Linked DNA regions of Arabidopsis thaliana. The protein of the gene in region 2 interacts with the protein of the main gene of each other region in a pairwise test. Each region holds a gene or a part of one and is shown on either strand. Other genes may lie near its edges.

What was found. The genes of interacting proteins can lie anywhere in the genome.
Region 1: the proteins of RAN-1 (region 2) and SIRANBP interact in a two-hybrid assay, tested with the Arabidopsis thaliana proteins (one study listed by BioGRID).
Region 3: the proteins of RAN-1 (region 2) and NTF2B interact in a two-hybrid assay, tested with the Arabidopsis thaliana proteins (one study listed by BioGRID).

The regions. Positions count from the first base shown.
Region 1 is NC_003070.9:2,191,179-2,196,149, reverse strand, and holds SIRANBP (Pleckstrin homology (PH) domain superfamily protein), read left to right. Parts: upstream 1-2,313; 5' UTR 2,314-2,461; coding exon 2,462-2,616; intron 2,617-2,736; coding exon 2,737-2,888; intron 2,889-2,994; coding exon 2,995-3,120; intron 3,121-3,536; coding exon 3,537-3,790; 3' UTR 3,791-4,471; downstream 4,472-4,971. Other genes in the region: MAPKKK13 (mitogen-activated protein kinase kinase kinase 13), read left to right, coding at 372-1,871.
Region 2 is NC_003076.8:6,757,565-6,763,812, forward strand, and holds RAN-1 (RAS-related nuclear protein-1), read left to right. Parts: upstream 1-2,529; 5' UTR 2,530-2,799; coding exon 2,800-2,802; intron 2,803-2,953; coding exon 2,954-3,023; intron 3,024-3,245; coding exon 3,246-3,302; intron 3,303-3,389; coding exon 3,390-3,507; intron 3,508-3,765; coding exon 3,766-4,183; 3' UTR 4,184-4,766; downstream 4,767-6,248. Other genes in the region: AT5G20000 (AAA-type ATPase family protein), read left to right, coding at 1-33, 126-350, 438-500, 583-746, 1,105-1,261, 1,373-1,471, 1,656-1,766, 1,846-1,986; RAN2 (RAS-related GTP-binding nuclear protein 2), read left to right, coding at 5,253-5,255, 5,382-5,451, 5,792-5,848, 5,930-6,047. UniProt on the Arabidopsis thaliana protein: GTP-binding protein involved in nucleocytoplasmic transport. Required for the import of protein into the nucleus and also for RNA export. Involved in chromatin condensation and control of cell cycle.
Region 3 is NC_003070.9:9,744,329-9,748,967, forward strand, and holds NTF2B (nuclear transport factor 2B), read left to right. Parts: upstream 1-2,482; 5' UTR 2,483-2,592; coding exon 2,593-2,898; intron 2,899-3,384; coding exon 3,385-3,443; coding exon of another isoform or gene 3,444-3,459; exon of another isoform or gene 3,460-3,826; intron 3,827-3,938; coding exon 3,939-3,978; 3' UTR 3,979-4,139; downstream 4,140-4,639. Other genes in the region: ECT9 (evolutionarily conserved C-terminal region 9), read right to left, coding at 1-170, 273-334, 799-856, 935-981, 1,269-1,320; DPL1 (dihydrosphingosine phosphate lyase), read left to right, coding at 4,484-4,639. UniProt on the Arabidopsis thaliana protein: Facilitates protein transport into the nucleus. Interacts with various nucleoporins and with Ran-GDP. Could be part of a multicomponent system of cytosolic factors that assemble at the pore complex during nuclear import.

The DNA of each region.
Region 1 (4,971 bases), on a different chromosome or scaffold from region 2:
TTTGTTCTCTTTTCAAAACGACTAATCATTCCATAAAAGTAAAAAATTTGTAAGGATTAAGTCTAGATTTCAATAGATGTATATATAATTAAAATTGTTAAAATCCAAACCGACCATCGAACATGGTATAATTTGTTCAAAAATCTAATGATAGACTCGAAAGTTTGTGTTGTACATGACATATCCACGTGGGAAATTTTACAAAGATGAGACTTTACAAATCGAAAAGACAAGTGTACAAGAATAGTCCATGTCAGAAACAAAAAAAATTGCAACTTTATTTCACGTTCACATTTTCTGTTTTGCAGTTCCAAAACACGCATATAAATAGCTTCGTGTTGCACAAGTACGACATATGAAAGTTGGCACACATGGAGAAACAGAGCATCAGAAACACTTGTTCTTCTTCTTTAATGTTATCCTCACCATCTTCTTTTTGGGTTCGTGGTGCGTGTATCGGCAGAGGTTGTTTCGGTGCAGTTAGTACGGCGATCAGCAAAACCAACGGTGAAGTTTTCGCCGTGAAATCCGTGGATCTCGCCACGAGTCTCCCCACTCAATCAGAGTCTCTCGAGAACGAAATATCTGTCTTCCGCTCGCTAAAGCCTCACCCTTACATCGTGAAGTTTCTCGGCGACGGAGTCTCGAAAGAAGGAACGACGACGTTTAGGAATCTCTACTTAGAGTATCTCCCAAACGGTGACGTGGCTAGTCACAGAGCCGGAGGAAAAATCGAAGACGAGACTCTGCTCCAGCGTTACACGGCGTGTCTTGTCTCTGCTCTCCGCCACGTACACTCTCAAGGATTCGTTCACTGCGACGTCAAGGCGAGGAACATCCTCGTCAGCCAAAGCTCCATGGTCAAGTTAGCCGATTTTGGGTCGGCGTTCAGAATCCACACACCGAGGGCTCTGATCACGCCACGTGGAAGTCCGCTTTGGATGGCTCCGGAGGTGATCAGACGAGAGTACCAAGGTCCGGAGAGTGACGTCTGGTCTCTCGGCTGCACGATCATCGAGATGTTCACTGGGAAACCCGCTTGGGAAGACCACGGAATTGACTCGCTGAGTCGAATCAGTTTCTCTGACGAGTTACCGGTTTTCCCCTCGAAGTTGTCGGAAATCGGCCGTGATTTCCTAGAAAAGTGTCTGAAGCGAGACCCGAATCAGAGGTGGAGTTGCGATCAGCTTTTGCAGCATCCATTTCTCTCTCAGTGTCACAACTCATCTCCGACTGAGTCATCTCCGCGTTGCGTACTTGACTGGGTCAACTCGGGGTTTGACTTAGAAGAAGAAGAAGAGGAAGTAGGGAGATCAGAATTCGAAGACGCGGCGAAGGCAATAATTTGTAATTTGGCGACGACCGGAGGAGTAATTTGGGAGTCAGATGGTTGGGTGGAAGTTAGATGCCACGCTTCGGAAGAGGAAGGGACAACAATGGAATATTCGGGATCCACAAGGGTAGAATCGGAATATAACACATCATCGGATCCAAACGATGACGTGGCTGGTGACTCGGCGATAATTGACGTTTCTATGTCTCAGAATTTACCGCCTGGAAACGGGGGATCGGCGGCGGCGCTGCCATATGAATTTGTGGTGGTTTTACATTTATTAATGGAAATTATGGTTTATACTACATGTATCTTTAGGGAAATTGTTCTCACTATGTATTTGTTGTATCAGTATAATCAAAGCAATAAACTCGAAACGTTGTCTTTTAATCACAGCCTCAAGTTTTGTTTGTTTGCACATGTGATTCGGATCGGACAAAACTATCTTTTACGCGGTGAGATGAGATCGAGTGTCTTAATTACGAGCCATTGCCTTATATTGATAACTCTCGTTTACAGCCAAATAGTTGTATTTTAATGTGAAAAAATATTGCGACAAATGGTTTTGGTTCGTAAGCTGGTGGAAGACTCAAGAGGCCAAAAGAGACTTTGGTTTTATGCTTTAGAAGACTTTTGATTCATCCTAATAAGTATTCGGATTTTGGAGCATTTAAATGAATCATAGAGGGAACCGGACCGGTTGAAGATGGTTGTTTGTTTCGACTAGGCCTGAAGGACCAAGGTTATGCATGTACGATTATGTATCAAACTGAACGAAGTCGTTACATAGAGTTTAGCTCAAGCATATCATCATATTCTTTTTTCGATCTTTAAGATTTTTCTCTAATCTCTATGCTATAAATCATTAAGATTTCTCTAAAAAAGGATTAATTTCCCTTGAGATAAATAGCTTTAAAAATAACCCAGATACAATGGGTTTATATGGGCCATATATATTTTTTGTCATAAGAAATCGGCCCATAGTTAGCTTCAATTCAACGCCGTATAACTATGAGTCGTTCCGATTTCCTGTGTTGCGAAACCCCCAAATTCTCTTCTCTCTATCTCTCTCGCGTACGCCGCACCGTAGCGACCAATTGAATCCACGAGGAAATCTCAGTAAATACTATGGCGACCAACGAACCCGAGCACGAGCACAGAGACGAGGAAGAGGCCGGAGCTAACGAGGATGAGGACACCGGAGCTCAGGTCGCTCCGATCGTTAGGCTTGAGGAGGTTGCCGTCACTACCGGCGAGGAAGACGAAGATGCCGTCCTTGATCTGTAAGTGTTTTTCTTAATTGGTGTTTATAGTTTTTCTGATCTAGGTCAACTGGATCTGATCGAATTTATAAGGTTTAGCTTTTGGTGTGTTTGACTGAATTTTTGTTTGTGAATCTAAAGGAAATCGAAGCTTTATCGATTCGATAAGGATGCGAATCAGTGGAAGGAGAGAGGAGCTGGTACTGTGAAGTTCTTAAAGCATAAGAACACTGGGAAGATTCGTCTCGTTATGAGGCAATCTAAAACTTTGAAGATCTGTGCTAATCACTTCGGTATAATTTCTATTTGGACTACTTTGTGTTGTTTTTGAGTTGCATCTGGATCTGTATTTAGGTTACTGTTTCCTTATCTAGTCTTATGCTTCTGATATTTCTGCAGTTAAATCGGGCATGAGTGTTCAGGAACACGTTGGGAATGAAAAGTCATGTGTGTGGCACGCTCGTGACTTTGCTGATGGTGAACTCAAGGATGAGCTTTTCTGTATCCGATTTGCTTCTATTGAGAGTGAGTATGAAACCGAATTTTGTAATGGCTTGTGTTTTGCCTTATTTAGTCTCAGTTGGTTTGATAGATTCACGGATTAGATTACTGATGGATCTTGACCTTAGCATTGCTATATGGCTACTTTGTTAATTGGAGGTTCTCAAAGCTTCCATCATAGGCATGCGTTATTGGGTTCAGGAAATATCAAAATAAGTACTGTGGCGGTTAGGTTGTGGTATTGCATTGTAAAGAGATAATATTGTTCTTGAGGTGGTCAAGTATGTATTTAGGCTGCAACTAATTTGATATGCCAACATGGTCGACTGTTTCTTTTTTTATTTTGGGTAAATATTATCAGTAGTTTCTGAGCTGTTGATCATATTAACCGGGAAAAGTAGAGATGCTTGTGGGTAATCAAATCTTATTTTCCTTGTCAGATTGCAAAACATTTATGCAAAAGTTCAAGGAAGTTGCTGAGTCTGAAGAAGAGAAAGAAGAGAGCAAAGATGCCGCTGACACTGCTGGCCTTCTTGAGAAATTGACTGTGGAAGAGACAAAAACGGAGGAGAAAACCGAAGCGAAAGCTGTGGAGACGGCAAAGACTGAAGTGAAAGCAGAAGAAAAGAAAGAGAGCGAGGCAGAGAAATCTGGTGAAGCAAAGAAAACAGAAGAAAGTGGTCCCTCAACATAAGAAGCGTCATCATTTAAGTTGCCAAATCCTGGCGAGGTAATTAAGCCTCGAAATGTTTTGATGCATCATGAGTCTACCATTGTCTTGGCACTATCTATCTATACATGTTTTGTCGAGTCATATCAAGTGGTTGGGGGATCGCTTGGGGTCGGGTTTTACTGAATGCTGAGTCGTTATGGGTCTAATAGTTTTTGAGTCTAAAGTGTCGGGTGATATGAGAGATTTGGGTGAAATATTTTTTCATGTTGGTTATCTGAAAGAGTACATTGGTTTCATTGTTTTAAGTTTTCTCATGGATCCTTTTTGGATGGTCTTATTTTGAGGATACAAATGTGTTTGTCCATGGACAAGAATCAGAAGTCTCCATTTTTTTTTTTTCAAAATTTAATGCATGTGATTTTTTAATCTTAAGGTAATTGCCAATTGTTTGACAAAAAAAAGGTAATTGCCAATCTACTTTGCTCTCTTGTGTTAGTCGATGCTAGTCTTGACCCTGATAAAGATCCAAAATGTATATTAACAGTATTCATAAAATTCTTCAGTTATAACGAACTGTTCACGGAAAAAAAATGACATTGTACTATACTGTGCTAAAATTACCAAAGCATGATTTATATAAATCATATCCAGTAAGACCATATGTGAATGAATAACAATGGATTATGCTTAGGTTAAGATTTTATTAAATTTATAACACTTTTAAAATAAATTTGGAATAATACAAACATATAAACCATTCCTATAACACCATATTTAAACATAACAATGAATTGCTTGGATTTCAAACTTTATTAAATTTGGATTTTAAATTTTAATTTGATTGAATTATACCCCCTTAATTGGATAAATTCAAATATGTCAACTTTTTTTTTTTGTAAGATTTTTTTATGGAAAAAAAAATTGATTATTCACTAAAAAGATGACAGGTTACTTATAATTTAATATATGTAAACCCTAAAAAGAAGAAAATAGTTTCTGTTTTCACTTTAGGTCTTATTATCTAAACTTCTTTAAGAAAATCGCAATAAATTGGTTTGAGTTCTAACTTTAAACACATTAATATTTGTGTGCTATTTAAAAAATAATTTACAAAAAAAAAAACAAATTGACAGAAAATATCAGGTTTTGTAATAAGATATTTCCTGATAAATATTTAGGGAATATAACATATCAAAAGATTC
Region 2 (6,248 bases):
AAAGTGATGGGAAAAAACAAGGTCTTGGTTAAGGTATGAATGTTTTTATCGTATTATCTAGATTGGTTTTTGAATTGTTTGCAATCATATGAACATTGATAGAATAATACTTTCCCATGTTTCAGGTTCATCCAGAGGGGAAGTATGTTGTCGATATTGACAAAAGTATAGACATAACGAAACTCACTCCATCAACGAGAGTTGCTCTCCGTAATGATAGCTATGTTCTCCACCTGGTTCTGCCAAGTAAAGTAGATCCCTTGGTTAACCTTATGAAAGTTGAGAAGGTTCCAGACTCCACATATGACATGATTGGTGGTCTTGACCAGCAAATCAAGGAAATAAAGGAGGTATGCATAGTGAAAGAAACAAACGATACTAAAAGTCACTGGTTTCATGCTTTTAAATTTTATATAATATCTTTACTGGTTTATCAGGTCATTGAACTGCCAATCAAGCATCCTGAATTGTTTGAGTCTCTTGGAATTGCGCAGCCAAAGGTACACTTGAATTTCAAAGCTTATCTATATTGTGACGCTGCTAAGTGGATTTCGAACTGATTGCTTCTCCCTCTCTTTTAAGGGTGTGTTGTTGTACGGTCCACCTGGAACTGGGAAGACACTATTGGCTCGGGCTGTGGCACATCACACTGACTGTACTTTCATCAGAGTTTCTGGTTCTGAGCTGGTCCAGAAATACATTGGAGAAGGTTCTAGAATGGTCAGAGAACTTTTTGTGATGGCAAGGTTTGTACATGCTAGTCCTTATTTAATATTTCAAGCATGGTAAAAGTGGTAGGTTGGAAAAGATGGAACTTTTGACACGATAAATCTTTTACATGCCCGTGCTTAGTAGCTGTAGTGGACATGTGGAGTAAAATAAATTGAGTAAATTGTTCTCTGTTCCTGCTATGAATATGGTTTCAACATGTATACGATCTCAAGCATAATGATCTTTACAAGTAGTCTCGATGCCTAGCATTTAGGCCACAGTAATAGTCTTTTGTAATGAGCAAAGTATACACCATTAATCATCTTCATTGTGCTGAAAAATACTTATTCCAGCTAGCTTACCTTTCTAGTACCTCTGGCTTATGGTTTTCAGGGAGCATGCACCATCAATCATCTTCATGGATGAAATCGATAGTATCGGGTCTGCTCGTATGGAATCTGGTAGTGGAAATGGTGACAGTGAGGTGCAAAGGACTATGCTTGAGCTTCTCAATCAACTTGACGGATTCGAGGCGTCAAACAAAATCAAGGTATGCCTTATGTTGTGAATGAAAAAATAGTCATGAAGCTGAAAAGGATAACTCTGTGTTACTCTGAATTTCGCAGACAAAGTTGTTAATTCTCTTAAATGACTGTTGCAGGTTTTGATGGCTACAAATCGTATTGATATTCTGGATCAAGCTCTTCTCCGGCCTGGAAGGATTGATAGGAAAATTGAATTTCCTAATCCTAATGAAGAGGTAATGCTTGTGTTTCTTAGGACATGATATTAGAAATAACTTTAAACTTGAAGTAGCAACTTTGCTCACTCCGTTGTTTTTGGTAAACTATCATTTACTGCGTAAAATACTTTTCTCCATACTTATTGTACCCAAAGTGAGGCAGGACGGTTTGGCTAATGTATATTTCTAATATGTGTTGCAGTCACGTTTTGATATCTTGAAGATACACTCAAGGAAAATGAATTTGATGCGTGGAATCGATCTGAAAAAGATTGCAGAGAAGATGAATGGTGCTTCAGGTGCTGAGCTGAAGGTAAGTGTTTCTCTGTCCCTGCTTCTGTCTTGTTCTCTCCAATCTGTCTCTCTCTAATGTTTTTGGTTATTACGGTCAGGCTGTATGCACGGAGGCGGGCATGTTTGCACTTCGTGAGAGGAGAGTACATGTGACTCAGGAAGACTTTGAGATGGCTGTGGCGAAGGTAATGAAGAAAGACACAGAGAAGAACATGTCTCTGCGTAAGCTCTGGAAGTAGGAATTTCAGAGTCACAGATTAATTTCGATTATTTCTTCTCTACTGTCTGTGGTTCTTTCTGAAACCTTTTCGGCTAGCGCTTTAAGCTTTTCTAAACAATGTTTGTACACTAGTTTCTATTCATTCAAATGGTTGTTCAGCATAACATCTTCGATTCAACCAAGCTTACATTTTACATCTTAAGAGTATATTCTTCTCCAACTCAGTCTCATTAGCTTAAAGAGAAAACCAACTAAAAGATTGTTTGAGACAAAATAATCGACATAGCTTTGTACCTGAGATCCACCGCTGAGGTCAATAGTGAGTGATTTGAATTTGGAGTGTACATTAATTTAGAAATTCAACCCATCTGGCATGTGTCAAGAATAATTTGAAAACTATCCGTTATGAACAATAAAAATCCTTATTGATGAATGGTGTCTATTATTAAAAATTGAGGTATAAATATGATAAAGAAAATAAATAATTTATTTTGTCAAAACCAACGCGTATATATTGTAATGAATTTAATTTCAAAATTTGCTAAATGTGAAAAAAGGAAAGAAAAATCAATGCCGATGAATGAGTACGCGTGGACCTAAAGCTAGAAAAAGATCCAACGGTGGAGAAAGCTGCGTTAAAATTGCAGAAGAACCAAAGAGAAAGAATCCAACGGCCAATAGTGTAGCGTCAACTCAAAGCCAAACCCTCCCAAATTTCTCTTTTAAAAACCCCAATCTCTCTCTCCCTCTCCATCTTCATTCTCCCTCTCGCCGCTTCCTTCTTAACACCATCGCCTGAATTCGCTCTCCTCTAGCTCGCGATTGCGAAAACATGGTACATGTTCTCTTCGATTTTACCGATTTCTTCTTCGTGTATTATCAGATTGTATACCTTGATCTAGGATTATCTCCGTCTCAGATCTCACGAGATTGCGTCGATGTTTCCATGTTCTAGTTTCTAATTTCGTCGTGGATATATTTTTCAGGCTCTACCTAACCAGCAAACCGTAGATTATCCCAGCTTCAAGCTTGTCATTGTTGGTGATGGAGGCACAGGTACGGTACTCTTCGCCGTGTTTTTTTTTATCGATTAATCAATGCTTGGATTTACGTTGATGGTGATTGGGGTGATAGAGATAGGCTCATATGCTAAGCAGATTTTGCTAGTCGACTCTTTATAATCCGTACTGTTGTATCCAGTGGCTCAATTGATTTCAAGTATGGTAATGTGTTTTGATTGTTTTGCTAAACCTTTGATTGCTTTTGGTGGTTGTGCAGGGAAGACTACTTTTGTTAAGAGACATCTTACTGGGGAGTTTGAGAAGAAGTATGAACGTAAGTATTGCTTGTGAATGTTCAGATTTCTGTTCTTCATGTCTCTTAAATGATTCTGATTTTGAGTCGTAATCTTGTTTGTTGCAGCTACTATTGGTGTGGAGGTTCATCCATTAGATTTCTTCACAAACTGTGGCAAGATCCGTTTTTACTGCTGGGACACTGCTGGACAAGAGAAATTTGGTGGCCTTAGGGATGGATACTAGTAAGTGTGGACCCTTTACTTTCTCATTGATAGGTTAGTGTCTAGAGTCAATCTAGAGTGTGCTTAGTTTGGATTAGCTCTGGTTAGGATTTGAAATTGGCAACCGATTAACCTGGACAATGGGTATAAGACTGGTATGTTTTGAAGTATGCATAGTTTGCAACTGATTTTGTTACCTGGACAAATAGAGTAGAACTTGAATTTTAATTTTGATATTCCATCTGGATGTATAGCTAATCATCTTTGAATTTCTTGCAGCATCCATGGTCAATGTGCTATAATAATGTTTGACGTCACAGCACGGCTCACATACAAGAATGTTCCGACATGGCACCGTGATCTCTGCAGGGTGTGTGAAAACATCCCGATTGTTCTGTGTGGGAACAAAGTTGATGTGAAGAACAGGCAAGTGAAGGCAAAGCAGGTTACATTCCACAGGAAGAAGAATCTGCAGTACTATGAGATATCAGCAAAGAGCAACTACAACTTTGAGAAGCCTTTCTTGTACCTTGCTAGAAAACTGGCTGGAGACCAAAACCTTCACTTTGTGGAGACACCAGCGCTTGCTCCACCAGAGGTTCACATTGACATTGCTGATCAGCAGAAGAACGAGGCCGAGCTCTTACAGGCTGCAGCTCAACCCCTCCCCGATGACGATGATGATATCTTTGAGTAAATCATCCTTCTAGAATGTCTGCCGTGGGAAGCTCTTGCTTGTTCCTTTTGGTTTTCTCTATGTTGTTTTGGTGTTACATATAAATCAATCGGTCTTTCTTATAACAAAAATTAGGTATGTATTTTTGGATGGTTCTTCTGATGGTATCCAAAGCTAAGTTGTTTCTTCGCAAGAATATTAGTTGATTGGAAAACTTTATTCTACCTCCTATTACTTGCCAGTTCTTAGATTTCAGATGCCACTCTTTAGCTACCAGGTGATGTCATATAAACCTGGGTAAAATTAGCTGCAAGTAGATCTTGTTGGGAGACCTGACCTGCATTGACAATGGTTAAGTTCTTTGCCTTCCCCGATCTCTCTAGCTTTGCAGATTCTTCTGCAATCCTCTTCCTTTTCTTCTTTGAAACTTGATCTTCTTAATCAATCCGCACCAGAACTTGTAGAATAATAATCGGATAACTTTTTGTTTGGCAACCATTCTTGCATTGAAGAATGAAGTAACCCTTTCCCTCAAATCAACGACCGATTTCAATCCGTGATTCCAGACATTTTCTTCAACCGTGAGCTCTAAGACCAATTTCTGCAAGTTTGAGCTTAAGAATTTATCGATGTGTATATTAATTTCTGGAAATATTGTTGGTATTAATATGTTACCATTAAATTTGAAAGGCATCATTAGATGGATGTCATGTGAGTGAGTACTTGAAATTTTGAAACTATCCGTTACGGACAATAAATCCTTATTTAAATGATTTGTTAGTAAAAAACTATGCTACAAATAAAATCAAAACTTCACATACGATACAGGAAATAAATATATTATTTATTTTGTCAAAACTCAAAACCAGGACCTAAAGCTGAAAAAAAAAAGATCCAACGGTGCAGAAAGCTGCGTAGATATTGGAGAGCCAAAAGATGGAATCTAACGGTGGAAAAAATAGCGTCAAACCTAAGCCAAAACCTCCCAAAATTCTCCTTATTAAAACCCCATCTCTCTCCCTAGTCCCTCTCGCCGCATCGCTTCTTAAACCTCGACGACATCAACGTCTGACTTCGCTTCTCCTCTCACATGGTGAACATTCTCTTCTCTTTTCCCGATTTCTTCGTCTTGTAGTATTTAGATCTCACGAGATCGCTTAATTTCGTTGATGTTTCTTTTTTCGGATTTTACTGAATTTTGTTGTGATATCTTGTTCAGGCTCTACCTAACCAACAAACCGTAGATTATCCTAGCTTCAAGCTCGTCATCGTTGGTGATGGAGGCACAGGTACAGTATTCTTCGCCGTGTTTTTTGACCTATTGTTTTTTGTGATCTCTGAAATTTGATCGTCTTTTCACTGTCCCCATCTGAAAGCATTCTCGTTTAAGAGACGGATTTGAGATTTTGATGATGTGCTGATTAGATTTGTACGATTGGTTTTTGATAATATCAATGTTTGATTGGTTTTAAAGAGAACCTTACAGACTAGGCCTTCGTTGAGCAGATCTTTGGGATATCGATTCTTAGATGATCCGGAATGTTGTTTTCATTGGCTCAGTTTTAGTATGGTTCAATGTTTTTGATTAGTTCTTGCTAAACCTATGATTGCTCTTGGTGTTTTGTACAGGGAAAACGACCTTTGTGAAGAGACATCTTACTGGGGAGTTTGAGAAGAAGTATGAACGTAAGTATAGCAAAGATGCTTGTGAATGCACAATTTCTGTGAACATCATCTGATGTTGAGTCCTAATCTTGTTTGTTGCAGCTACTATTGGTGTGGAGGTTCATCCTTTGGATTTCTTCACAAACTGCGGAAAGATCCGTTTTTACTGCTGGGATACTGCTGGACAAGAGAAATTTGGTGGCCTTAGGGATGGATACTAGTAAGTATACATATCTCCATTGATATGTTTGTGTGTATACTCAATCTAGAGTGTGTATAGTTTGGATTAGCTCTGGTTGGTTTGTGCGTAAAATTGGCAACCGATTTGTTACCTGGACGGTGGGAATAGGAATCGTATGTTGTTGAAGTAATCTGTTAAGATCTCAATATCTATTAAAGTTTGCATTGTTTTGATTAGCGC
Region 3 (4,639 bases), on a different chromosome or scaffold from region 2:
GGGGTTGGATACTGCTGATTTGATAAGTGAAAAGGAACGAAATATCTTGAATCATCAGCATAGAGGTCGCCATAATGCTGCAGTGATGATTGATTTCTGGTAGAAAGAGATGACCTCTGAAAATCTGATGGTACACCATTACTATGGTAAAACATTTCATTTATCATGCCCTATATCAATTTAATAAGAGATAGGAAATAAATGAACACATCATGAATATCAGAAATCAAAATCAAGTAGTGTGGAAGGCGTAGATTAGATGATTTACGCACAGGAGAGACTTTGTCAAAGCTAGGAACATCCGAGTGTGAGTGGTTCGACCTTGGAGTATCAGCTGCATATTCATTGAGAGAACGACGACATTAAAGAGCAACAAGGAAATTTCAAAACAGTACTACAATAACAGCTAAGAAGCAATAAAATCCACAATTTTGGTCACAAGACAAACATGGCGAAGCAGAAATAAAAAAAGTGGTAAAGATTTTCATGGGTATGCGGCAATGTTTCCTCTAGTGCACATATGAGAATAATCCAAAACAAAGATAACAATTTGGAATAGTCCACATAAGTAGGTGGACTTCATTATAAGAAAGAATAATCAGTTCTCTTGGTTTAAGAACATAAAACAACAGTAGCTTTTTCTTCTCCAAAAACCAAAATCAAGTTGCAAATGAAAATGCCAAAATACCAGAGAGAAAACAAAACAAAGGTCACAAACCAGCAGAAGATTAGTTGTAACCACTAAACTACAGCTAAAATACAATAGAACTGATTAGGAAAGGATCATATAGATCTAACCTCCAATGTGAAATGATTCTGTGCCCTGTCCACAAAAAGGGCGACTGCTAACTATGTCCTGTAAAATCATAACACAATGTGTCATATTGGTGCTAGCTTACATTATATGACACAAGCAATTCCACTAATCACTCACCTGATCTTGGAGAACACTCTGGTCAGTATTTAGGCCCGTAAATGAACCTAAAAAATCCATAAAAAGCAGACAGACACAACCACCATAAGTAAAAAGCTAAACATGAGAGAATAATCATAGGATCAAGGTGAAGTGGAAGAATCTAACAAAGCCTAGTAAGTGAGAGAATCCCAAAAAGGTTAAGGCTTTACGAGAAATTACAACAAGAGTGGGCAAAATTCATCAACAGACAACGTAATCTCTTCGTTAGAGTGACGAAACAATAAAACCCACGAAAATAAAACGAAAAAGGTTCAACATTTATCATTTTTAAAGAGAAGCAAGCGAGGCTTACCAGTAGTAGTAGTAGGAGGAAACCAGTCGGTGCTTCGGTAAGAAGCGGCCATAGAAAAAATCAGCCAATCGGAGGCAAAAAGGAAGAGAGACGATAAAGTTAGACAAAAGCGAGAATCTCTTTGATACTGAAAGGAAGGTGTTGAGAGAGACTTGAGAGAGGAATTGTCGAATTTTGAGGATTTTGGGAGTGTTTTTGGGTGACGCATGGAAATTCGTAATTATTCTTTTAATTAATTGAGTTTTATTTTCTTTAATATGATTAATTAATTAAGTGGATATGAATGCAGGTGAGATAATTTTGTATAAATATTAGCCAACCATTTTTAACTGATCGTTAGAAAGAAACCAATGTGGTTTTTACGAAATAATTTTCACTAATTAGAGAGATTATTCAACTATTTAGAGAATGTAATCTGCCTTTTATTAGTAGTATCCGAAATTTCTAAGAATAAGAAAGGCTTACCTGATTTATATTCTAGTTAAAGAACAAAGAAATTTGTTGGAACAATCTTGTTGATTTCTGGCTGTTTAACCCAATGCTTTTCTATCCATTTTGTTTATTTTTTTATTCTGATTCATAAGTTTACAAAGATATTGTTTAGCTTACCAAATCCATAATACATGTTGGGATCCCAAACTACAATGATAATAACGAAATAGAAAAATATATACACATAATGGAGATTGATTCGAAAACTAAGTAAAGCTTCCATTATATTACTGAAGGTGTAAATGGTTGCCGCGGTTAAATCTGTTTGCAGATATTATTATTTTTTATTTACAATTTATAAATTAAAATTTATTATAATATGAACTAAGAAAAATAAATGAAATTTCTCGCAGACCGATCATAAACCGATTTTACATTAAATAAAGTTGGTTTACATTGTATGTCCTAAAAATAAAATGAACTAAACCGCTGACGGATTTATCTGTATCTACCGCTGCAACCTACACTCTTTATAAACAAATTTATTATTTTTGACACATCTTATAATCTAATTGATTATTTAAAATATTATCTTTTAAATTCTCTAAATCGCACTATATTAAAATATAAAAATTATTTTGTTGGAGAAACAAACCTTAAAAAAGATATATAAAATTATTTGTTCAAAAAAAATGTTAAATAGAAATTAAAGAAAGAAAAAGAGAAAAAAAAAACAAATTGAGAAGAAAAGAAGAAAAGCAGCGTCGTAGAGACGCGAAGTTAAACAACAGGTCAGAGAATAAATAGAAAAACCAAAACCCTTTAGCGTCTCCCAAATCCTCTCAATCCTCTGCTGCTCAATCTCTCATCATCGGCATCGCTCTCTCTAAAAATGTCTCAGATGGATCCCGACGCTGTATCTAAGGCCTTCGTCGAACATTACTATTCCACCTTCGACACCAACCGTGTCGGTCTCGCTGGTCTCTATCAGGAAGCTTCTATGCTCACCTTCGAAGGTCAAAAGATCCAAGGAGTCCAGAGCATCGTCGCTAAGCTCACCTCTCTTCCTTTCCAGCAGTGCAAGCATCACATCTCCACCGTTGATTGTCAGCCTTCTGGTCCTGCTTCCGGTATGCTCGTTTTCGTCTCCGGTAATCTCCAGCTCGCCGGAGAAGAACACGCTCTCAAGTTCAGCCAGGTATCTCTCTCTCTTTCTCTTCGATTTCCGATTGATCTATCTTTGTTTGGATTTGTTTGATTTGCTTGTGAGTTTAGTTATTAGATCGCTAGGGTTTTAGATTAGCTGATGGATCTGTAAATCTGACTCTTTAAAGGATGTAGAATTGCAAATTCGTTGCGACTTGTTATCTGATTCGTTTTGAGCTACAATGATCGATGATGTTGTGACTCGTGTATAGCTCATTGATGAAAAACTTTGCATTAGTCTCTGTTTAGTCTCGAAGAACAAGTTTGGCTCTGAGTTTTGTTGATTAGATTGAAGAGAATTGTTTTCCCTCGCCACAATTGATGGATTTCTTGTCCATGAATGAGATTGAATAAGCTGGTTATGTCGATGTTATGTATTGTTTGCTTTGTTATCTCTGATCTTTTTTTTGTTTTTTTTGGTATCTTTGATCTTGTTCTAACACAACTACAAAACGTTTGGTTTCATTGTGTGCTACAGATGTTTCATTTGATGCCGACGCCACAAGGAAGCTTTTACGTGTTCAACGATATATTCAGGTTGAACTATGCCTGAACAGAAATCAGATTGTTGTTAGCATACATCATTGTTGCATTTCTATACTATTTGAGCAAATCCTTCTATCAATTTTTCTCGTCTTTTTCTTGTTATTCCCAGATGATTTACCTTGGGAACAGAGGAATATTGTCTCTCATCATGTATTTGGTTTGGATTGTTTGTTCATTTGTCATTACAATCTATTGACTTTATAAGACAATTTGAATGGTCATTTGGCTCTTGTTCTTTCTGGGAATATGCTTTTAATCCGAATATATTTGGATGGTCCAAGCTTGGCCTGTTAATGTGTCTAAAGGTTAACTCTTATCTATTGCAAGACTTGCAAGTAGTTTCAATGAACACCTCTCTATGTATAAATAAAGCCATAAGTTCTAATTTAGTTCAGTTGCAACATTTGACCGACTAATAGTGAATTGAAAAATGAAGTGTATCTGGGTCATATTCTGAGTTTTGTCGATTTGTTTGTGGGGTTGCAGTTGGAGATTGCTTCAAGTTTTCAATAATTTATTTACTTGATAAGCATTGCAAGTGTCAAGCACAAAAGTTGCAGATTCCCACAAACCAAATAAGAAAGATCAATTTTGATGTAGAATTTTGCTTCTTTTTCAGAAGAAAAGTCTCAGCTTCACTGATTCGACCGTTGATTCAATTTCTATGGCAGTTCATAATTTTCAGAACGTTATTACAATCTTAAGCTTTTAGTTAATACTTAACACTACGTTGATCTGCTTTGATTTTGATATAAGTTTTGGTTCCAATTAGATTTCGTGTAGTTTTCTTCACCCACCCACTACTATCAGACTATCAGAATCTGAAAGTAACCCACTTTAAAAATTGACAACACACGCAACGAAACACAAAGCGCCAAAAATTAAGGAAAAAAAGGTTTGTCGTAATCTGATACTATTCACGCGATGACCTCGTTTTTGATCATCTTTTCCTTTTCTATATTCTTTTCTCCTCTGTCCCAAACGATTCACTTTTCTCACCATCTCAATCTCCAGACCAAAAGAAACAAAAAATGGATTCTTTTTCATATTCTTCGATGAAATCCATGTTGATTCAAGCTCGTGGCTCGTTGAACTCGCGTTTGTCGGAGTTTGAGCCACTGGTTCTGCTATTGGTTCCGCTTGTCTCTCTGTTTCTCGCTCAGATTATCGGATCTGTGTTTGGCGTT